Saccharomyces cerevisiae S288C: one gene and its partners. Changing the gene in region 1 together with any one later gene gives a genetic interaction. Each region holds a gene or a part of one and is shown on either strand. Other genes may lie near its edges. The genes, in order: SET3, SIF2, TCP1 and MOT3.

Region 1 (7,034 bases):
AGAACGAAGAGAAGGAAGAAGAAAATACTCTGCCCACTACAGAATCGGAATATGAAAATTATAGACCTAATTTGGACGTCTTAGACGATTTGCTGGATGATGACGAACTGTATACGGAATTAATGTGTTCAAATTTCAAGCTACTAATATTCTTGAAGTATCCTGATGTTTTATCAAAATTGATAGAATATGTTACCAACGAGAAGATTCTCGACGAAGAAACAGATAGCGCTAAAAAGCCAGAGATTATTGAAGGTGTAAACGATCATCCTATTTTGATAGAAAGAGACAGAAAGGATAAAAAGGAGGACGCTGAAGAAGGAGGCGACTCAGAAGAAACTACAAATGATAGCGATCATGACTCTGGGGACGAAAGAAGTGTTGATTCTGAAGAGACAAGCATTACTTTGCCACCGGAATCTGAGGAACAAGTGGAGACTAGAAGGGCAAGGATAGCTGCTGAAATTTTATCGGCTGATGTATGGCCTATATCCGCAGCAATAATGCAAAATAAGGATCTTCTTGGTAGATTGTGGTCGATACTAGATCACCCAGCTCCCTTACCGATACCAGCTTCCACCTACTTCATGAAAATAAATGAAAGACTTCTCGATATGGATATAACGGGGATGTTAGAGTTTATATTAAGCCGAGACAGCTTGGTTGCAAGGTTCTTGACACATGTTGACAATCCGTCTTTGATGGACTTCCTTTTGAAAGTTATCTCGACGGATAAACCTGACTCTCCCACGGGTGTCATAAAGATACTAAAATCACAGGAATTAATACCTAAACTTTTAGATCATCTTAATCCAGAATACGGTATTTCCACTCAGTCTGCGGCAGGCGATTTTATTAAGGCATTCGTCACGTTAAGCACTAACTCAAGCAATGAACTTGCTTCGGGAATAGGTCCTAATGAATTGACAAGGCAATTAGTATCAGAAGAAATGATAGAAAAGTTGATTAAGATAATGCTAAAGGGCGGTACATCCTTAAGTAATGGTGTTGGAATTATCATAGAGTTGATCAGGAAGAATAACTCAGATTATGATTTCATCCAACTAGTCTACACTACCCTAGAAAGTCACCCTCCCACTGATCGAGATCCAATTCACTTGATACATTTAGTCAAACTTTTTGCTAAGCATATGCCTGATTTTGCTGATATGCTGGATAAAACCAAGTTGCCACTAATGGAAATGCCATTCGGTAATATTGAACCTCTGGGATTTGAGAGGTTTAAAATCTGTGAACTTATTGCAGAACTATTGCACTGTTCTAATATGACGCTGCTAAATGAGCCCAATGGTGAGATGATTGCCCAAGAACGTGATATAGAAAGGGCCAAAGAATTAGAAACTTCAACCGAAAAGGAAAATATAACAGCTATTGTGGACAATAAATCATCATATTATGATAAGGATTGCGTAGAGAAGGATATCACAGAAAATTTAGGCGCTCTTCAAATAAATAATCAAGGAAGTGAAGAAGATGAATTAAATGATACTGGGGTATCAAGTGTAAAACTAGATGTGAAATCAGACGCAAAGGTAGTTGAGGGGCTAGAAAATGATGCTTCTGGAGTAGAGTTGTATGATGAAACCTTGTCTGACACAGAATCCGTGAGAGAATGCCTAAGGGAAAAACCGCTAGTTGGAGACAGGCTGAAGATTGCTCTAGAAGACACTAAGATACTGATTAGTATCCTTGATATGTTCACTGAGTTCCCTTGGAATAATTTTTTGCATAATGTAATTTTTGATATTGCCCAGCAAATATTCAATGGTCCCCTCAAAACTGGTTATAATAGGTTCCTCTTGAAAGATTATTTGGTTGATGCATACCTAACTAAAAAGATAGTAGATGCGGATAAGGCATGTCAAGACTATGAAAAAAAGACCGGTTTACGTTATGGTTATATGGGTCATTTGACATTAGTTGCCGAAGAAATATCGAAGTTCAAAGAGTATATTGATGAAATGAAGCTAACTTTTTGCAATACCGCTGTTTCAGATCGACTTGAGGAACCATTTTGGAAAGAATATAGTGAAACGATCTTGGCTGATACAAGAGAGAAGTATAACACCGTTTTGGGAGATTTTGGCAATGACCAAGAAAGCGATGACGATGTTATTAGGAATTCTGATTCTGAGGATATAATTGGTGATACAGAGGGCAACGAAAACTACGGAAATGGAGAAAACGATGAACTTCTTAGTAACGGGCATGATTCTGGGAACATGGATTTATATTATAACTTCAATAATAACGAGAATGAAGAAAATGAAGAAGATTACGCAGAGTATAGTGATGTGGATAATAAAAATTACTATAATAACGTCGAGACTAACGACGATGATTATGATAGTGATGATGGTAAATCCAAAAGTGCCGAATCAGAGTTTACCGATAAAATATCTGAACATAGGGATGGCAATAGTCTCTATAATGAGGACAATGATGAAAACGGGAGTGACAAATGGACATCGGGTACTTCATTGTTCCCTCCAGACCATTTTCCTAGTAGGTCACAACCTTCAGATCCTAAACTGCAAGACCAGAATATTTTTCACCATCAGTTTGACTTTGAAGGTGTTGGCGATGACGATGACTATATGGATCCTAATGATGATGGCCAGTCATATGCCAGACCTGGTAATCCATTGTATACTACCCCGAAAACACCACCAAGACCGAAGACTATTCTTTTCAATTCTTTATCCGCATTGGATAATAATGGCGAAGACGAAGAAGTGGCACTAGGCACCAGTGTTGATGATCGAATGGATAACGAGATATCAAGCGATGAAGAAGACTCCGAAGATGAAGATGAAGAGAATGATATGGGCAATGAGGAGGGCTACTCATTATATAGGTCAAGAAGTAAAGAAGCTTTCTGAACTAAAACATTCACATTGTCACATTTTCACCCTTTATTCATCAATTTTTTATTGCTCCACTTTTTTCGCATATAGGTCATTTATAATTCATCAAATATATACTTTTTTAATTGAGGCTTGTAATTTAATATTAACCGAATATAATCTTATAAAGAATAATGAATATTCACTTTTGAATATACTTAAGTTTATATAGGTGTAAGAAGGAAATGTCCATGTTTATTTCAGTAGTTTTTTTCTGTAATCCGCAAAGCTTAATTTCTTTTTCGAATGCAGTTGTGAGGACGAAAAATCTGATAAGTGCATTATACTTTCTGGAGTGGATTCTCGCCTTGAATTAACCGAAGCTTCTGTCATGATTTCTTTTGTTTTTGCTTGACTGTGTTGTGCTTCCTTTGACAGTTCTTTATTGAAATTTGAAAGAGAAGGGGTTCTACTTAATTTATGTTCATTCTTTGATTGACTCTCTTCGACATCGTTTGCAGTTTGCCTTGACGTCTTGTTTATTGGTAAAAGAACTGGAATTGGTAATTCTTCAATATTGGTAATGTGTGATTCGTCATAATCTGTGCTCTTCGTAATTATTAAAGGTTTTTCTGAAGTTTCATTTTTTTTGGGAACAGAAATATTAGAAGAATGTTGTGCAAATAAGGCGAATTTGAAGGGTTTTGCAATATCATCAGGATTATTTGTACTATCAATAGTATTCTTTTGAGGAATTTTTGGACCATTATTTCGATTAAGGAATTTTTGTCGATAAAAATTATTCAAAAGTATTGGAGCTCTTTCTATAGTATTTTGAGCCTTTTCTTCTAGCCTATGCAAAATTGGTGGCTCACGTCTCTTTTTGCAATTATATTGGTTGAGAATTTCATTTAATTTATATCTGTTGTTCATTTTTCCTCTGGATTTCACAGATTTATAAAGACTTTGCGCGTATCTCTTCACTTTCAATAAATAACAATCTTTAGAATTATTTCCACAGCCGCATTCGCCGTTACTCAAAATTGTTTCTACCGAATTTATCAGCCCATACCTTTCAAGGTCATCTAAAGAGTCTATTGTCATGCCCTTTATTAATTTTAATATAGGATGTTTTGAATCCCACTGCCATTTGATGTATAACTCCTCATCCTCTGAAATATCTCTCAAAGCTCTTAAAACAAATTTTATTCTACTTGATTTTCTTCCACTGCTTTTGTCATTCCTATTGTCTGTATCTTGCAGTTTTATAGTTACTAATTCAACATTCGGCTGGCAACTTCTTCTCAAATACCTAGTTGAATTGCCTGATAAGCGTGCATCTATATATATCGGCCAATGGGAATGGAAAATGACCCTTCTTTTAGCTGTACCCCATATCCTGTAATGGTTTCGTGGGTCAGTGAGATAATTTTTATAGAAGTCCAATTCGCCTAAAATTTCTTGAATGAAATCACCTTTTATGCAGTCCTTTTTGAGATAAACTCCTAATTTCGTGAAGCCTGGGTAAGTCCTGGAATATGCAATGTCAGCATACGGTTTGACTTCAATTGACACAGATTTAAAGGTCTTATGAGGATATTGTATGACCCAATTATCATCCATATGTTTATTTAAGAACGGTTCGATCAGATCACTTTTAAACACATTGTCTTTCAAGGGCAAGTATATTGCACCATATGCGTCTTTTGCACTCAGGAAATGCTCTTTTTTCTTGGGCATAGAAGTCAATCCATCGGAAGAATTGACAGAAGCGCTTTCGTTTTTGGAGTCTATACTATTATTTGATGGGTTTCTTTTCCTTCTTTTGTCCCTGTGGTTAGTATTGTCCTGATCCGTTGAAAAGCTATCGCCAACGTCACTAATAGTTGTACTCGATGCTCTGTCCCGACCGTTATTCTTATTACTAGCACTATTGTTTGATGAAGAAGGTTCTACTGTTTTTACGTTTATGCGTTCCTGCTGTATTTTCCTAGCCAAGTTAATGTCTACCTCTCTTGGATCACATGAGTTGCAAAGGTAATCATCAGGTGCCATCCCAATATCTTTGATGCCATAGCAAATAGCATGCTGCCATCTGTTGCAGTGGTCACATTGGATAGTGAATCCATCATCATCATTTAAATCACATATACATGTAATTATACCCGCGTCAGGATCGACTATATACGAATCAGGTACCGGCCATTGAGGTTGCTTTTGAGGTTGATTTTCGGTCTCTTCTTTTGCTGCCGTGGATGTTGCTGCTTCTGCCGCCGATTGCTCAGTAGCTTTCTTTAAAGGTAAAGAAACTGTGGATGCTGTAGCCAGTGCTGCTGCTGCCATTTCTATTGCTCCTTTTTTTTCTCTCTCATGAGACTCATCATGCTCAATAGTATCTGTTTTAGAGCCTATTTTTGAAGCTTCTTCAGCTCTTTTTTTCCCTTTTGAAAACAATAACAATGTGGATGCATCATCTAGGAGCGACTGCTCTTTGGAATTAGGTACTGACATGATTCAGTTCTCGTATTTTGTGAAGTACGATCTAAAACTGTTGTATATACGCTTTAAATCATGTTTACTAGAAAGGTCCTTTATTACTACTTTCTGTATATAGCATGTCGTTGATAATGATATGCATCTATCATGACATAGTAAGATGAATGAGTTGGTTGAACAATTTCCAGGGAAACAAAGGACTAGTTTCATGTCTTTAATGTTTTTTTACGAATAATATACCATGCTATAAAAGTATTATAATAAAAGGTATCGACTACCTGTAATCTAGAATGATAATTTCATACAACGATCACTTCCAACGGTTAAATAATTACCAATAGACCTTACTAGAATATTAAACTTAACAGGTTTAAATTTTGTTGAAATAACTGCAAAAAGCCAGAAAGAAACAGATTTGCACTATAATTTTTCGATTGCCACTACTTAGTCAACGGATTTATCAATGTCATATTTGCCGACTTATTCCAACGACTTGCCAGCAGGCCCGCAAGGCCAGAGGAGGCGTAATAATGGTAATGAAAACGATGCAAGACAAGGCTACGGTCAGCAATCTGTGCCGATGGTAATCAGGAGGCTTTTCAAAACGCCAAAGAATTTAGATCTCGAGACAGCCAGCTGGGAAATGTTCCATTTGATTTTCCATCCAAGAAAAGCTTATAGATCAATATATTATCAGCGACAGACGAAAAATCAGTGGGCGAGAGATGATCCTTCCTTTTTCATCTTCCAAATAGCCTTAATTTCACTCAGTTCTATTATTTGGTCGATTTATAATTCAGGTTTCAACAACGACAGTGATATGGGGGCCTTGAGCATTATAGGTCATTTTTTCAAAAGTTTGGTAATGATGGTGATTTTAGATTTTTTCATATTTGGATTTATTATGGCAACTATTTTTTACCTTTTGTTGAATAGGTCACATTTTAAATTCAAATCGAGCCAAAATAGTGTGGTAGAGTGGGCTTATTGTTTCGACGTTCATTGTAATTCATTTTTAATCATCCTACTGTGCCTATACTTCATTCAGTTTTTACTACTGCCCATAATTAATTTACAAAACTGGATTTCCTTACTCATTGGTAATTCGTTATATTGTTTTGCTATTGGCCATTACTTTATTTTAACCTTTTATGGATACAACCAGTTGCCATTCTTGAAAAATTTGAACTTTATACTTTTACCAACATTAGGATTATCGATAATCTATTTAATCAGTTTATTTGGCATCGACTTATCCAAGAAATTAAGCTTTTACAATTATTAAGCAATTGAACACGGAAATAGAAAAAATTTGGTTCTTTAAGATAAAGCACATAAATTACATAATGATATTATTATTATATATATTTGAAGTATAAAAATGCAATGAGTAATAAGAGCAATAATGACACTATGGACCAAAAGAATGCATAATGAAAACTGTTTATGTATCAGCGTCGAATGCTTATAACAGATAAAAGGAAAATACAGGTAATGGTGTGTTCCTGGTCGTTTTTATATTCCCTTAATTGTAGATTTCCATTGGAGAAAGTCTATCCGAGTTAAAAATCCAATTTCTACTCTCAACTTCTTTAGCTAACCATTCGGTTGGGAAAATGACCAAATGACCGTGGATCCTTTCCAAGATTCTCTGCGCCGTATGTTTGTCAA
Region 2 (4,490 bases), on another chromosome or scaffold:
GTCTGCGTCTCTACATTCATACAAACTTGAATTCGAATTGCTAAACTTGAAAAGTAGCCTCTTAGTGGAAAATTCCTCTTGCGTGACAGTGACATCCTTTAAAGGATAGCACTGGCTTACTATAAAGTCATTTTGCTTATCTCTTGATTTATCGGCGATAAGTACCAAATCATTCAAAATGAAAATCTGTACCATCTGCAAGGGTTTACCAGTGGTAGTATTTAATTCCATCCAATTGGCACTATTCATTAAAATATGTCTTCCTTTCGTAGAATTGATAAACTTCTGAGCACCTTCAACGTTCTTAAACAGCTGATCCAGTTCCGTATCCCAAAATTTCTCTAATATCAAGACGCTCGATCTGTCCCTCCTCATGAGATTCCCATTTTGTCCTGCTTTCAAAGGCGGAAGTAACGCTGGACTATTAGAATGACTTTCAACATTGTTAAAATTGCCTTGTCTCTCTTGATCTATTTGATCCTGCAATTGTAACCTTTTTTCAGCTATTTTGGTGCACTGATCCAAAACCTCGTTTAAATCATTTATATTTGCTCTAACCCTTTTAAGCTCCAACATAGCAACATTTAGGTCGTTGTTTACCGTCATGATTTCGTTATATGATTTATTGATATTTAACTTTACTTCTTCTTGGACCTGTATCGATAAATCTGTTAAATTTGAGGTAAATTTATCAATAGTAATGGCACTCGCATTGCCTAGTTTATCATGAACAAAATCTTTAGCATTAAAATGCGGGTTTGCCAACATCTTTCTTAGCGACGTGCTATTATTGAAAGGATCATTACTGCCGGAAGGATTGACAGTATTTCGCATTGCTGATCTAGCAGGCACCTTATTATAGGAGCTGTCGTTCAGGGAGAGATCGGCAGTTGAAAGATTTAAACTGTTGGAAGGGCCTTTAGAGCTTACCGATTCGTTCTCAGTGGTGAAACTACTATTATTATGACTACTATCCACATTATCATTGGGAACTATCATGTTTGGCATATCAGGTAGGGGCATTGAGTAATCTAGTGTAGGTGGAGCATAATTTGTATTATGAATTGATAGTCTTCTCTGCATTGAAGTTGCTACCCTACTTCTCTCCCTTGCATTGATTGTTGGTAGCGTATAACTGGTAGCCGGATCCTTGAGATCACTATAAGGGTTCTTTTTTGTTTTTTGTTTAGGCTTAGCAGGCGATGGAGGTGTCTTTTGCTTAGCAGGAGAGCTTGCAGACTTCTTTACATGCTTCCAATTGTTTCTGGCCTTCTTCAAAGAAAACTCAACCATTTTCACAGTACAAATATTTCAACTTTCAGTCTCTTACCTGGTCTAATATGAAGGCTTTTTGTTCATTCGGCTTTGCTCAAGGTCTTACAAATATACTATTAACTGCAGTCTCTAGTCTCTTTTTCCAGTCATCTATTTTCATGGAGCGGAACTTAGCAAACGAGAAATAAACAAAAATGATTAGGAATGTATTCATGTTGAAAAGGTTATGAGATATGCAAGACCATTCGTTTTGATTTGCAATTAGTGAGAACAATTTAAACACCTTGGTGCGAAATTGAAGGTTTTTTTTTCCAAAGAAGTGTACAGCCCACACTAACAACTGCTAACTCAGATAAAAATAACAGAAACAAAAAAAAGGTAGGGAAGGCCCATCACACGGAAAATGAGTATAACAAGTGAAGAACTAAACTACTTGATATGGAGGTATTGTCAAGAGATGGGACACGAGGTGAGTGCATTAGCATTGCAGGATGAAACAAGAGTATTGGAATTTGATGAGAAGTATAAAGAACACATTCCTTTGGGTACACTGGTGAATCTAGTACAAAGGGGAATCTTGTATACAGAAAGTGAGTTAATGGTTGATAGTAAAGGTGATATCAGCGCTTTAAATGAACATCATCTTTCTGAAGATTTCAATTTGGTTCAGGCGCTGCAAATAGATAAAGAAAAATTTCCTGAGATCTCTTCTGAAGGAAGGTTCACTTTGGAAACCAATTCCGAGAGTAATAAAGCAGGTGAAGATGGCGCTAGTACTGTTGAAAGAGAAACCCAAGAGGACGATACTAATTCTATTGACAGTAGTGATGACCTAGACGGATTTGTCAAAATACTGAAGGAGATAGTAAAATTAGATAATATTGTTTCCTCCACTTGGAATCCATTGGATGAATCTATACTCGCATACGGTGAAAAAAATTCTGTTGCAAGACTAGCGAGGATAGTAGAAACCGATCAAGAAGGGAAAAAATACTGGAAACTCACGATAATAGCGGAGTTGAGACATCCTTTTGCTCTGAGTGCAAGTAGTGGTAAAACGACGAATCAAGTCACATGTCTTGCTTGGTCACACGATGGTAATTCAATTGTCACGGGTGTAGAAAATGGTGAGCTAAGACTATGGAATAAGACGGGGGCACTTCTGAATGTTTTAAATTTTCATAGAGCACCTATAGTATCCGTTAAATGGAACAAAGATGGAACACATATCATATCCATGGACGTGGAAAATGTCACTATACTCTGGAATGTTATAAGCGGGACCGTCATGCAGCACTTTGAATTAAAAGAAACCGGTGGCTCATCCATCAACGCAGAGAACCATAGTGGCGATGGTTCACTTGGGGTTGACGTTGAATGGGTAGACGATGACAAATTTGTCATTCCTGGCCCTAAAGGTGCTATATTTGTATACCAAATTACAGAAAAAACGCCCACTGGTAAACTTATTGGACACCATGGACCTATCAGCGTTTTGGAGTTCAATGACACCAATAAACTTCTACTTAGTGCCTCAGACGATGGTACTCTAAGAATATGGCATGGCGGTAACGGCAATTCTCAGAATTGCTTCTACGGACACTCACAAAGCATAGTATCGGCATCATGGGTCGGTGATGATAAGGTAATATCCTGCTCGATGGATGGCTCCGTTCGCCTATGGTCGCTGAAGCAGAATACGCTATTGGCTCTATCAATCGTGGATGGTGTCCCAATTTTTGCTGGAAGAATATCACAAGATGGACAGAAGTACGCAGTTGCTTTCATGGATGGGCAGGTAAACGTCTACGATTTAAAAAAACTGAACAGCAAGTCACGAAGTCTTTATGGTAACCGTGATGGGATTTTGAATCCATTACCAATTCCCCTCTACGCTAGCTACCAAAGCAGCCAAGACAATGATTATATATTTGATCTGTCATGGAACTGTGCGGGAAACAAGATTTCTGTAGCATACTCGCTTCAAGAAGGTTCAGTTGTAGCCATATAATAACTAGGTACAGTACATAAACAGATGAATTTTATCATTCTTATTGTTATTTCTTTGTTTACAAAAGGTGAAAAGTGAAAAATTTCGCAATGGAAAACGTCGCGGGCCGCCTTTGAGTGACGTTGTGCAGGAATCTCGAAGAGTCATCACTTTGAAGATAACGGCCGCTCGCGATGAGAGAAGACAATGAGCATTGCTTTTTTATAATTTTTTATACCTTGTGTTAAAATAAGTTTCTTTAATTAGTTTTCACCTCTTGGATGATACAACTGTAATTGATAAATAGGGGTAGCCATAAAGAACAGAAAAAAGCGGCGCAATAATTTCGTGTATTACAATTACAGTTAGTCATGAGTGAAGAATTTCCTACGCCGCAGCTTTTGGATGAATTGGAAGATCAACAGAAAGTTACCACGCCGAATGAGAAGAGAGAGTTAAGTTCTAATCGTGTGTTGAAGGATATTTTTGCGGGTACCATCGGTGGTATTGCACAAGTTCTTGTAGGGCAACCGTTTGATACAACAAAAGTTAGGCTTCAAACAGCCACCACAAGAACAACAACGTTGGAGGTATTGCGTAACTTGGTAAAGAATGAGGGTGTGTTTGCATTCTACAAAGGTGCGTTAACACCGTTATTGGGTGTTGGTATATGTGTCTCAGTACAATTTGGTGTGAATGAGGCGATGAAAAGATTTTTCCAAAATTACAACGCTTCTAAGAACCCGAATATGAGCTCACAGGACGTAGATCTTTCACGTTCAAATACTCTGCCACTATCCCAGTACTACGTTTGTGGGTTGACAGGTGGTGTAGTCAATTCATTCTTGGCATCGCCCATTGAACAAATAAGAATTCGTTTGCAGACGCAAACATCTAATGGTGGAGACAGAGAATTCAAAGGTCCTTGGGACTGTATTAAAAAATTGAAAGCTCAAGGTGGATTGATGAGGGGTTTATTTCCCACAATGATAAGAGCCGGACATGGGCTTGGTACATATTTTCTTGTCTACGAAGCATTGGTTGCCAGAGAAATTGGTACGGGACTAACAAGAAACGAAATTCCTCCTTGGAAATTATGCTTATTTGGTGCATTTTCCGGGACAATGTTGTGGTTGACAGTATACCCATTGGACGTTGTGAAATCCATTATACAAAACGATGATTTACGAAAACCTAAATACAAGAATTCCATTTCTTACGTAGC
Region 3 (6,641 bases), on another chromosome or scaffold:
ACAGTTCCTGAAAGTCATAGGAAACACCACCAATACCAGCTGTTGGAAAGGTACTTAACGACTTTAGGCTTAGCCCCATCTTACTTAACTGAGATAATGCATCAGCTTGTAATGTAGCAGCATCGCTGTTTAAAGTAGTTTCGCTTGTTTGTGATTGTAAAGGCCCTTCCTTTACCTTTTTGCTGTTTTCTTCCTGAACGCCACCTTCCTCATCGTTAGGTTGTTGCTCTTGCTGAAGCAGTACTTGTTGCTGCTGTTGCAAAAAATGTTGTTGGTATTGCTGGAGTTGTTCCTGTTGTTGTTGCTGAACTTGTTGGTGTTGTTCCTGACGTAATTGTTGATACTGCTGCAGCTGAACTTGCTGATGCTGTTGCAATTGCAGCTGCTGGTGTAATTGATATTGTAATTGTTGTTGAGTGTAGTTTTGGCCGGAAGGAATCCTGTTACATAGTAACATCCCGCTTAGACTATTTGATAAGCTCATTCCCGTGGATTGCAATGCAGGACTACCCGCAAGATCGAATGAACCATATCTCTCGTTTGGAGTTCCACTTGCTTGCTGCGCTTGGGTCTGTGGTTGAGATTGCTGCTGCACTTGCTGCTGTTGCTGAAGTTGGAACGCACCCATATTTCCAGAAGGCAATGGCGGTAATAGTAAGCCATCGATACCTGAATTCAATCTTTCAGGAGAACCAAAACCAATAGTGCCATTTTGAGAGAAAAAGTTATTCATCATATCTTTCTTATTGATGGTACCCTGGAGGCCCATACTTAGAGGAGTCATATTGTTTTTGTCCTCTATAGGGGCCGATGACTTTTCCTCGCTCTCACTCTTAGTTGTAGAGGCGCTTGATGGAAAGGAATCATTGGATGAGCCTGAAGCTTTTACCGCTGATTGGATATCATTGAACGGTGTCTGCTCCTTCTTGATCGTAGGAGGTAAATCTACCGATGAATCAGACTCCACGCTACCGTCTGCCTTTCTCGTGACATACTTCACTACTGTTGCTCCTCTACCTTTCCTTAAATGGATTGGTGTATACTGACATTCCAACTTCATATTTGTGCACTTCCTACAGGCTGGCTTCCCTTCATCACACTTAACTCTTCTTCTTTTACAGTTATCGCACCCATTCTTTGATTTGTTATGGAATTTACGTTTACCGGTTGAAGTCGTACTCACCTTTTTGCCGTCCACTTCAATTAGCTCGATGACTTTTTCTCTTCTTCTGGGTTTTGTCACCGCTTTCTTGTGATTCTGTATACCGACTTCGCTCATACTGCTGAACTGTAAATATTTGTACTTAACTTTTTTTGATTCACTATTTCTGGAAAGCTCAATTTTGTTTTAGTGTTGGATAAATGAGAAAAGATAGTTCCTACAACTTCAAAAAGTTAATGTATGTAAAAAATCGCTGTTTAGAGGAACAGTCAGCACTATCGCACCCTGAAAGCAATATCAATCTTTGACAAAAGAAGTGTCTACTTTCTATGCCGCGACTTTCCAAGTAACTTGTATTTGCTGATCCTGCCAGGGCGGCGCATATATAGATTTCGACAAGCACATTCACTGAAGACAATAGAATAATATTCGTTGGGCGAAAATTTGACGCGATCCCGCTAAGGTGCGCTCGTTTAGAGAAAAAAATAGCTTGGAAAAAACCTTATTTAGCTGCCACATTTAGACAGAATAACACAGCCACTATGGGAGATATTCACCCTGGGGATCATGTTTAGAAACAGGCTTAGCAGTAAGCGCAATTGAATTCATGGAATACACTCCGCATTCTTTTTTATTGCCGCCTTACTAAAATGTAACGCTAGCGTTAAGCTTTTTTCCTTTAACAGGGTTCCTGCTCGTTTACGAACAAACACAATAGTTTGTAGGGACCCGCTTCTGCATTTGGACAAGAAAAACAACTCAACGAAGTCCTAATAGGTACGCGTTATTACGTATTAGTCCACCTCGCACGTGAAAAGCTGGGAAGCGCTTATCAACTGCCCAGAGTTAGCGATCAAATTCAAAAATAGAACTAGCTGAAAAAAATATAATTAAATTTTATATAGGTTTATTAGTTTACATGCAGATACAGAATCTCGTTCGGATTACGCAAAGAATCAATGATCGTGCGGATCTTCTTTGGGTGGTTCTGGATCCACTGTAATCATTGTATCAATTCTTAGAATTGCTACACAAGCCTCCAATGCTGATTTCAAGGATTTGACTTTGCTTATGGTTGGCTCAAGAACACCAGCGTGAATCTCGTCCACAATTTTACCTCTAATCAAATCTAGGCCGTAATTTCTGTAGCTTCTCCTCTTAACGTCCTCTGGCTTGGCCATTTGACTAGCGGCATGGTAGGACCTTAATTTTGCAACTAATTCACTAGAATCCTTGGCAGCGTTAACAGCTAAAGTTTTTGGAATGATTAATAATGCAGCTGCAAACTCAGCAATAGCTAACTGTTCACGAGAACCAACTGTGGTGGCAAAATTGTCCAAATAGATATTCAATGCGGCTTCAACGCAACCTCCACCGGGGACAACATTTCCACTTTCAAGCGTTCTTTTGACAACAGAAAGAGAATCGTGCAAAGAACGTTCCATCTCATCTAAAGAATAATCGTTGGCACCTCTTAAAATGATCGAAGAAGATGAATGTTTAGAAGTACCCTTAATTAAGATACACTCATCATCAGAAAATTTGGCTTGAACTACTTCATCACAAAGACCTAAATAACTGCTTTCGAAAGTTTCCTCACCTTCTAAGTTAGACATAGAACTAACCAAAGTGGCGCCTGTAGCGCGTGCAATTCTTCTCAAATCTTCCTTCTTACAGCGTCTTACACCCATTATCTTAGCTTCAACGAACTCCTTTAAGCATAAATCATCAATACCTTTGGTGGTTAACACAACTTGAGCACCAGCATCAATGATCTTCTTCACTCTTTCCAAAACAATACCAGCTTCACGTTTACGGATTTGCTCCAATTGTTCCGGATCATCAATGTTGATTTGAACACCCATTGCCATACGAGCTTTCTGCAAGTTCAAATCCAAACATGCGATTTTCACATTGCCACCGGCGATACGTTTAGGCATTGCTTGAGAAGCAACTGTACAATTCAAAGCATAACCTGGCACCAACAGTGATTCAGTGGCAGATTTACCATGAGCTTTCAACACATTGACAGCCTTTACGGGATACTTGATTTCTCCTTTGGAATTTTGCGTCTTAACAGCCAAAAGAGCATCTACAACCATATTGCTGAAAAAATCAGAGTCAGCACCAATGATCTTAGAGGACATACTAGTCTTGGCTATATTAATTAACGTCTCTTTCCCTAAAGTGTCAACACTTGTGGAAAGAACTTCATTTATAAAACGAATAGCCTCTCTTAATGCAACCCTGAAACCAGTTATGATGGTAGTTGGATGAATCTTATTTTTGACTAATTCATTAGCTCTTTTCAACAACTCAGAAGCAATAATAACAACACTAGTAGTACCGTCACCAATTTCTCTGTCCTGTTGTTGAGCCAATTCTACTAAAATTTTTCCAGCTGGATGTTGAACATCTAACAAAGACAAAATAGTGGCACCATCGTTGGTGACGGTAAAATCACCAATGTCATCAACAAGCATTTTGTCCAGTCCAACGGGGCCTAAAGATGACTTGACGACGTTAGCCACAGCCATAGTAGCCAAAACATTCTGATTACGAATATCATCACCACTTATTTTTTCACCTCCTAGGAAAAGGGTATCTGAGCGCGAGTTATTGAATAATTGGGACATCGCTAAGTTATTACAAATATAAAAGTCTTCTGTCTATTGTTATTGTCCCTTTCTTGTACTCTCTCAGTGGCCTCTCTTTTGCTTAAGTTATTTACTCTTCATGTGATACCACCGCATTTCAATTTTTTTTTTTTTCAGTTCTTTGCCACTTAGGACAAGGTCCCTCGGCAAGTGAAAAAAAAAAATCTGAGATTATTATTTCAGTAGTACTACTGAGGATAAAAACTAATATGATAAAAAATATATATATATTTGCTTTTTGCTTCTGTAACATGTAAATTACTAAATCTATATAGCGCTCACCTTTTTCTCATATTAAAGCCTTTTTATGGTAATACATGATTATGCAGGGTACTGCGTGGACTTTTATTCCTCTTCTGAGGAAGATTCTTCGTCAGCATTCTGTAACCACTCAACCCACTTTACAGTTAATTTCTTGACTTCATCATAGCGAGGGTCAGTAGAAACATTATCCCACCATTTATAAATGACATCCTCCTCAATTATGTCATTATCGTATAGAGAAACCAATGCACTAAATAGAATCAAATCCGGTTTGTCAAAACTCTGTTCTACAATTTTTTCCATTATGATGTTCATCAAATCAATATACTCTTCTTCATCAAAGGCTTGTCTCTTGAACAACAGTCCCCACTGATTAAAAACCTTCACCACAGCGTCCTTGGGACCTAATGTTTGAGTTGCAATAAAGTGGTAAACTCTTCTCAATAATGCAGTTATTGTTGCTATTCTCACCTCATGATATGTCACGTTCATACTCATTCTCAAGGTGTTCAATTCTAATAATGCTGTGTCAAGATCATGATTGTTTTCCATAGCACGCTCCACGGTGGCAATACCTTCTTTCTCAAAATCTTCGTCCTCAAATTCAGAATCAATTTCTTCTCTATCCGTGTATATACTATTGACAGACATCGTTCTTCTTTTCTTTGTCTTTTTAGTGGCGGAAGAAATTGAATCGTCACTTAAGTATAACTCATCTAATTGGTTACTCAAAGTGTTTATTTCTTTGCAGGCTTCTGTAGAACTATCTTCATCGTCAGACACCTCGCTTTCGTAAATATAACCAACACCCTTATCTCCAACAATAGAAACGGCTAGTGTCTGATCATCAAGGTCTTGGTCAAACTGCTCATTGCTTTCATTATCATACATTCTTGAGCCGGCATTTTTTAATGGACTGGCAGATATTTTTGTGTTTCTATCTAAATCCATATTATCATCAATTTTAACGTTGAAACCAATTATACAGCCATCATTTAGGCGTACATTACTCCCTAACGTGGCATTAGAGGCAATTAATGAATGGTCAATTATACTGTTATTTCCGATGATACAGTCATCCCAAATGAAACTGTTCTTGATTCTAATATTTTCACCGATTTGGCAGTTCCTTCCAATCACGGAATTCTCAATTTTCGTACCCTCTCCGATTTTTGTTCCTGATCCAATTGCAGTGCACTTACCAATTTTACAGGATTGGGCCAAAACAACGTCTTTTTCCTTGTATATATGTCTTGATTCATAAGAATACGTTTGATCGTCCTGTATGTTAGAGTCTAAGACCAAGGGATAACACCATCTACCTAAAAAGTCTTGAGAAATGGTGTCGTAAGTTTGCCAACTTTCAACTCTTACAGCATATTCGTCCGTCAAATAGGCATATATATGCTTTCCCAATATATCGCTTGAAATGACACCTTTAACAAAGTCTGTCCTTAATGATTGGTAGTCAAAATTTTCTTGAAATATCAAAGGTACATGAGATGTACAAATGTCAATTCTACAATCGATGAGGTCATTCCTTATGACAAATTCATCGACATTATCCAACAATTCTGGGTCAATCTGAATGGAAGTCTTCTCTCTAGAGCTTGGTAATGGTAAATCTTGGTAATAAATACACCTACTGGTGGATTTGTCTAAGACAAATGCGGCAGGCTCAATAGTTCTTGTTTTTGGATAGGTACTCGCTTTGCTCAAACACATTGTCGAGATGTGATCTTTATCTTGCAAATGCATTTTTTTGTGAAATTCTAGCATTTTGCTGAAATCGATGTTAGTCAATACATCACCACTGACTAAAATAAAATCTCCAGTAATGATACCTCTATTATCTAGATCTCTCATAACATCACCCGTACATCTAGCTTCTGGAGACATAATGGTGGTAATTTTAAATGGAGACCAAGGCAAGTTCCACTTAGAATTCTCAATATAGTCATTAATTTGGTTGGCATGAGAAGAGCAAATTAAGAAAACTTCATGTACGCCAGCCTTAGCCAAAAATTCTAAGGTGTATTCAATGAGAGGTACGTTAGCCAGTGGCAGCAAACACCTTGGCTTGACAGCTGTCAGTGGCATAAACCTAGTTTCATAAGAGTCTGTCAAGACAACGGCCTGGAGACGATCTTCAACATCCATATCAGAGTTCTTTCCATGGTTGCCTAGTCCACTTTTCTTTTGTCCCTTTTTTCCAGCCATCTTTTGCCTTATGAGTGGTTTCTATTCTATTTTTAACACAAGACCACTTTTAGTTATTTTTATACTTATCCCACAAGGTGGTCCATCTGCCATCTTTGAATTGGTGATTTAACTCTTCGCATTAATCTACTGAAAAAAAAAAAAAAAAAAAAAAGAACTGAAAACCATCTAAAGTCAAATAAGCTCATGTAATACGGGCATGTTGCAAACGCGTGTGAAAAAAAAAGAGAAAGTGCTCGAGGTGGGGTTTGAACCCACGACGGTCGCGTTGCTTTTAAAGGCCTGTTTGAAAGGTCTTTGGCACAGAAACTTCGGAAACCGAATGTTGCTATAAGCAC
Region 4 (6,421 bases), on another chromosome or scaffold:
CGATTTGATCCTTGATAACTGCTAATGGCTCATCCGAGGGCAAAAACACAGAAGGTTTATGTAGTTCGTGAGGTGGTAGTGAAGCAACCGTTTCCGGGTTCGTCATCGTAGGGGGAGTTTGTTTTGGGTGAATAGCGCTATTAGCGCTAATGCCCTCAGAATGAGATGTATTATTAAAAATCAATCTAACTGACGAAGGCTCCTGAATCCCTAAATTTTCGAGAGTCAAATTCTCATCCTTAATTGTTTTGAACTCTATTATCTTGGAAAAGACCTGGATCTTAAAATCATCTCCCGCAGCGCCGCTCATCTGTCGCAAGATAGGGGCAATTGGTTGGTCAGATGGCATTTCTTTAACCACGGAATCTCTTCCTGGGATTTGAAACCGTATTTTGATCGTATTGAATGGAATATCTTCGCGGTTGGTCTTATTCGCCACCGGAAAATTACTACTTTTAGATAATTCTAAGTTGACACCCGTTGGTAAGTTTAGAAGCCTCCATGGCAAATCTAATGGCACCGGTTTATCCAAATGTATCAATGACCAGTCGTTTGACGAGGTGTGCAGTTGAAAGAATTGTATGGATTGGTGTAACACATCGTTTAGTGTTGAATTCAACGAAACTTTACATTTGAAAAGTTGGAAGTTATACTTCACGGTAACCATAGGCATTGTATTGTGCGCTTATTAGTCTGCCTTGCTATTCTTCGCAGTACGTAGATTTATCTTAGTTTTTGCATTTTTTGGTTTTCTTTTTTTTTTGCCACACATAGTACAATAAAAGAGAACTTGAATCTTTGAAGAAACGTCTAAATTAACATCGAAGATAGAAGACAGGGAAACATCTAGGATTGCAAGAAATAGTGCTGAAATTTTGTAATAAAGTTGCAAGAAATAGCATCTAGCGTTTTATAAGGCGTACATCTTTCTTGGCAAGAGTTCCAAGAGAAAAGAGGAGCAAAACAGCGGTTGAGGCGCCCGCTATCTTGAATATTATACAGTTTCTTTAAAAACGCTTGTACAACACTGCATAAACATGGACAAATTATTGAAATTGTTTCAAGATATTTCCCATATCATATTCCAATAGCGTTACTCTCTCATCGCTTATTCTGGAATCATTATTTTAATAAAGATAACTCACACGATATACGTGTACTGAGCTGACCTTTATACCTACCCTTACCTGCTTATTCCTGATAAAAATGTTCGTGCAACTAATTGTTTGATTTCTCTTGCGGCCCGGTTATTCCGGAGTTGATACTTTTTTTCTTCTGTCTTAATTACGTTTTTTTCCTCTAGACTTTTTTGATCTGGTACAATTGAAAATGTATAAATCAACTGGACCCTAAAAATAAAAAAAAAAAACGCCCATTAGAAAAGAGGATATATTGAACAAAAGATGTTGAAAGAGCCCTCAGTTCGCTTGCGGGAGGCTATTATTGAAGGCAATTTACTTATAGTGAAAAGATTATTGCGACGGAATCCGGATTTGCTAACCAACATAGACTCAGAGAACGGATGGAGTTCATTACATTACGCCTCATACCATGGAAGATACCTTATATGCGTGTATTTAATTCAGCTGGGGCACGACAAGCATGAACTAATAAAAACCTTTAAAGGAAACACCTGTGTGCATTTAGCATTAATGAAAGGGCACGAGCAAACCTTACATTTACTTTTGCAACAATTTCCGCGATTTATCAACCATCGCGGAGAGAATGGTAGAGCCCCCATCCATATAGCATGTATGAACGATTACTACCAATGTCTGAGTCTGTTGATAGGAGTTGGTGCTGATTTATGGGTAATGGACACTAATGGCGACACGCCGCTGCATGTATGCCTGGAGTATGGCAGTATAAGTTGTATGAAGATGCTTCTCAATGAAGGTGAGGTGTCCTTGGATGATAATGTCAGGGACAAGGGAAATTGGAAGCCAATAGATGTAGCACAAACGTTTGAAGTAGGTAATATATATTCAAAAGTGTTAAAAGAGGTGAAAAAGAAGGGGCCACCGTTGGGTGCAGGCAAAAAACCAAGTTCATTCAGAACTCCTATACTAAATGCGAAGGCCACTTTCGAGGACGGGCCTTCCCCAGTTTTAAGCATGAATTCGCCATATTCGCTCTATTCCAATAATAGTCCGTTGCCGGTATTACCAAGAAGGATATCAACGCATACAACAAGCGGTAACGGTGGGAATCGGAGGAGTTCTATCACAAATCCAGTATTCAACCCACGAAAACCAACCTTGTCTACGGACAGTTTTTCGTCAAGCTCAAATTCCAGCTCGAGACTAAGAGTGAACTCCATCAACGTCAAGACTCCAGTAGGTGTGTCGCCCAAGAAAGAGCTTGTATCTGAATCAGTACGACACAGTGCAACACCAACAAGTCCGCACAACAACATCGCGTTGATTAATAGATACTTGTTGCCTAACAAGAGCAATGACAACGTGAGAGGAGACTCACAGACAGCTACAATCAACGATGACGGTGGCGGCGGCAATGGCGGTGATGCCACTATAGGAATGGGACTAAGAAAGGACCCGGACGATGAGAACGAGAACAAGTACAAGATTAAGGTAAACAATGGCGAGCCGAGGAGACGAGTGTCACTTCTGAACATACCCATCTCAAAATTAAGAAATAGCAATAACACGCGTGCAGAAGATTGAGAAGACTACTACGTATTTTTTTTTATATGCATCCTTTTTTCCACATATGTATGCGCGGTGCGCGCGCGCCATTAAAAGATTTTTTTCTTAGCTCTTTTTCTTTTTTCTTTTTCTTTCCACTGAGATGCGTTCTTCGGTATATAGTGAGAACACTTACAACTGTATACGAACATCGAAGGAGCACCTAACAGAAAGAAGGAGGGTCGCCATGGCGCCAATGTTCCAACATTTCTTAAACTTATGCGTGGAAAAATTTCCTGAATCCATCGAGCACAAGGATACAGATGGAAACGGTAACTTCACCACCGCTATTTTAGAAAGGGAGATTATCTACATCCCCGAAGATGACACTGACAGTATTGACAGCGTTGACAGCCTCAAGTGTATAAACTACAAGCTGCACAAATCTCGCGGCGACCAAGTGCTGGACGCCTGTGTGCAATTGATAGACAAGCACCTGGGCGCCAAGTATCGCCGGGCCTCGCGCATTATGTACGGCAACAGGAAACCATGGAAGGCAAACAAACTCGCAGAGATGAAAAGCGCCGGCCTTGTGTATGTCTGTTACTGGGACAACGGCGTGCTAGGTGCATTTACTTCATTCATGCTTACAGAGGAGACGGGTCTCGTCGAAGGTGACGCTTTACACGAGGTTAGCGTGCCCGTGATATACCTTTACGAAGTACATGTAGCTAGCGCGCACCGCGGGCATGGAATCGGTCGGCGGCTACTGGAGCATGCACTGTGCGATGGCGTAGCTCGACACACCCGCCGCATGTGCGACAATTTCTTCGGTGTAGCACTCACCGTATTCAGTGATAACACTCGGGCCCGGCGACTATATGAGGCGCTTGGGTTCTACCGCGCTCCGGGATCACCCGCACCAGCATCACCCACAATTCGTCACACGCGACATGGTGGGGGACGTGTAGTCGTGCCCTGCGATCCGCTTTATTACGTATATTGCCTTCACATGCCGTGAAAGCCGACAGGGACAACGCGCGATAAAAAAAAAATTAAAAGTAAAACTACGTACGCGGCGGCGCGACTCGAATCCTTGACTCCGACTGAGGAGACCCGAACAACGCTCCCTGCTCTCCGCCTTCGGCGCCTTCCGATAACTGCGCACGGCAAGGAGTAGTGGCGATAACGGTGTTTATTGCCGGTTTTTTCGTTTTTCTTCTTGATTTTCTTCTTTTTTTTCCTCAAAAGATGTGCTGTAGCCTCCGCTGTTGTTTTTTTTTATCCTACCAAGGCGCATCATCCTGTCATGATCTGCGCTGGATAGTATTTATACTACTACTCCGTCTGGATTTACTAAACTTTGTCTCTCTTTTGATGTAAAGTTAAAGAAGAATTACGAAAAAAGAGAGAAAAAATAGAAACAAATAATAGGAATTAAGGCCTTGTAGCAATCAAAAAAAAAAAGAAAAAAAAGGAATTTTTTTTGGAAGAAAACTTGAACAAAACAATTCCTCAAGAAGGAACAGGTACAAGAAAAGATTTAACAGAAGGAAAACTAATAGGCAACAGTAGGCAAATAGTAAAGGGACATATCATATTTGAGCAATGAATGCGGACCATCACCTGCAACAGCAGCAGCAACAGCGACAACAGCATCAACAACAACAGCATCAACAACAACAGCATCAGCATCAGCATCAACAGCAGCAGCACACGATATTACAAAATGTGTCGAACACTAACAATATCGGCAGCGATTCGCTGGCGTCACAGCCTTTCAACACGACTACTGTTTCCTCTAACAAGGACGACGTTATGGTGAACTCTGGGGCAAGAGAACTTCCAATGCCCTTACATCAGCAGCAGTATATATACCCTTACTATCAGTATACAAGTAATAACAGTAACAACAATAATGTGACGGCTGGTAACAATATGTCTGCGTCGCCGATTGTCCATAACAACAGCAACAACAGCAACAACAGCAATATTTCTGCTTCTGATTACACTGTCGCAAACAACAGTACTAGCAATAATAACAATAATAATAATAATAACAACAATAATAACAATAATATTCACCCAAACCAGTTTACTGCGGCCGCAAATATGAACTCAAATGCTGCAGCGGCTGCTTATTACTCCTTCCCCACTGCGAATATGCCAATACCGCAACAGGATCAACAATATATGTTCAATCCTGCTTCATACATAAGCCATTACTATTCAGCAGTTAACAGCAATAACAATGGTAATAACGCCGCTAACAATGGCAGCAACAACTCTTCTCACTCAGCCCCAGCCCCGGCCCCCGGTCCACCCCATCACCATCACCATCATAGTAATACACACAACAACCTCAACAATGGTGGTGCTGTAAATACAAACAACGCTCCTCAGCACCATCCAACGATAATAACGGATCAATTTCAATTCCAACTACAACAAAACCCTTCTCCAAATTTGAATCTCAATATTAACCCGGCACAACCTCTGCATCTACCTCCTGGTTGGAAAATAAACACTATGCCGCAACCACGTCCTACGACAGCACCTAACCATCCCCCTGCGCCGGTGCCTTCTTCGAACCCTGTGGCCTCGAACTTGGTTCCTGCCCCATCATCAGACCATAAATATATCCATCAATGCCAATTTTGTGAGAAGTCTTTCAAAAGAAAATCATGGTTGAAAAGGCACCTATTGTCACACTCGCAACAAAGACATTTTCTATGCCCTTGGTGCTTAAGCAGGCAGAAGAGAAAAGATAATCTTTTACAGCATATGAAACTCAAGCATACAAATTATTTATTAGACGAACTCAAGAAAAACAACATCATCTTTAACTACAACAATTCTTCCTCCTCTAATAATAACAACGACAATAATAATAATAATAACAGCAATAGCGCTAGCGGCAGTGGCGGTGCCGGTGCCGCGGCGGCAGCAGCAACAGCTCCCGAAAATGAAGATGGAAACGGTTACGATACAAACATCAAGACTTTAATCAATGATGGTGTACTGAATAAGGACGACGTTAAACGTGTTTTGAATAACCTTATTGTTAGTCACAACAAATAGATAGACTTTATAGACACACAAAATATCCCTTCCCACTCATTTAACAATCAAGATAATAGTAATAATCACAAATTTAGAAAGTAATTATGCATATATACATTATATACATATAGTTTATGTATGGTACGGAACTGATTACAACATCTCTCTAACAACGGCCTCGTGAGGGAAATCGTCATCTGTAGGATTTTTGATAATGTTCGTATTCTGGAACTCTTGGTGTTTAGTATATGCTACCGCATAACTGATTGACGATATCGTTAGCCCGACAGCTACCACAATTAGACTCGTAGCCATCACTGCAATGGAAATATACTGGATTATCGCCATTGCTAGATAGAAAAGACATCTCCATCCATTTGTTTCAAATCTCTTGATGAATTCAATGAAATTATCGCTAAGGGGACAGATTTTCAACAAAAATGGTATTTCAATGAATAGGATCACTAACCCTTGGATTATACTAATGATACCAAAAGCTATCACCCCACTAACGTGGAACAGATTCGCTATCCCGAGTGCAATACACAAGATTATGTTGATATATCCAAACCATCTACCATATACGCTAAAGTTGAAACTTTTCAAATCCTTCACCATACCACCCACATTGATGAACTGTCCTAAACTTAAAGCCATTATTGAAAACTAGTATATTTTAGTTGTTATTGCTCTTCTCCTGGTGACCTACAATC

Evidence for each region.
Region 2: mutations in SET3 (region 1) and SIF2 together harm fitness less than expected from each alone (positive genetic interaction), as found in Saccharomyces cerevisiae (3 studies listed by BioGRID, with this or other methods).
Region 3: mutations in SET3 (region 1) and TCP1 together harm fitness more than expected from each alone (negative genetic interaction), as found in Saccharomyces cerevisiae (3 studies listed by BioGRID, with this or other methods).
Region 4: mutations in SET3 (region 1) and MOT3 together harm fitness more than expected from each alone (negative genetic interaction), as found in Saccharomyces cerevisiae (3 studies listed by BioGRID).

What each region holds. Positions count from the first base shown.
Region 1 is NC_001143.9:494,456-501,489, forward strand, and holds SET3 (histone-binding protein SET3), read right to left. Parts: upstream 5,379-7,034; coding exon 3,123-5,378; downstream 1-3,122. Other genes in the region: SAP190 (Sap190p), read left to right, coding at 1-2,903; GMH1 (Gmh1p), read left to right, coding at 5,827-6,648; SPO14 (phospholipase D), read right to left, coding at 6,889-7,034.
Region 2 is NC_001134.8:446,031-450,520, forward strand, and holds SIF2 (Sif2p), read left to right. Parts: upstream 1-1,678; coding exon 1,679-3,286; downstream 3,287-4,490. Other genes in the region: exocyst subunit EXO84, read right to left, coding at 1-1,293; YMC2 (organic acid transporter), read left to right, coding at 3,637-4,490. UniProt on the Saccharomyces cerevisiae protein: Antagonizes telomeric silencing in yeast. May recruit SIR4 to non-telomeric sites or repression.
Region 3 is NC_001136.10:884,389-891,029, reverse strand, and holds TCP1 (chaperonin-containing T-complex alpha subunit TCP1), read right to left. Parts: upstream 3,799-6,641; coding exon 2,119-3,798; downstream 1-2,118. Other genes in the region: UPC2 (Upc2p), read right to left, coding at 1-1,279; GCD6 (translation initiation factor eIF2B catalytic subunit epsilon), read right to left, coding at 4,165-6,303. UniProt on the Saccharomyces cerevisiae protein: Molecular chaperone; assists the folding of proteins upon ATP hydrolysis. Known to play a role, in vitro, in the folding of actin and tubulin. In yeast may play a role in mitotic spindle formation.
Region 4 is NC_001145.3:404,901-411,321, forward strand, and holds MOT3 (Mot3p), read left to right. Parts: upstream 1-4,253; coding exon 4,254-5,726; downstream 5,727-6,421. Other genes in the region: UBX4 (Ubx4p), read right to left, coding at 1-673; AVO2 (Avo2p), read left to right, coding at 1,404-2,684; NAT4 (N-terminal L-serine N(alpha)-acetyltransferase NatD), read left to right, coding at 2,809-3,666; TVP18 (Tvp18p), read right to left, coding at 5,862-6,365. UniProt on the Saccharomyces cerevisiae protein: Transcription factor that affects the expression of a large set of genes. Recognizes and binds to the consensus sequence 5'-[CAT]AGG[TC]A-3' in the promoter region. Plays a major role in the repression of a specific subset of hypoxic genes (e.g.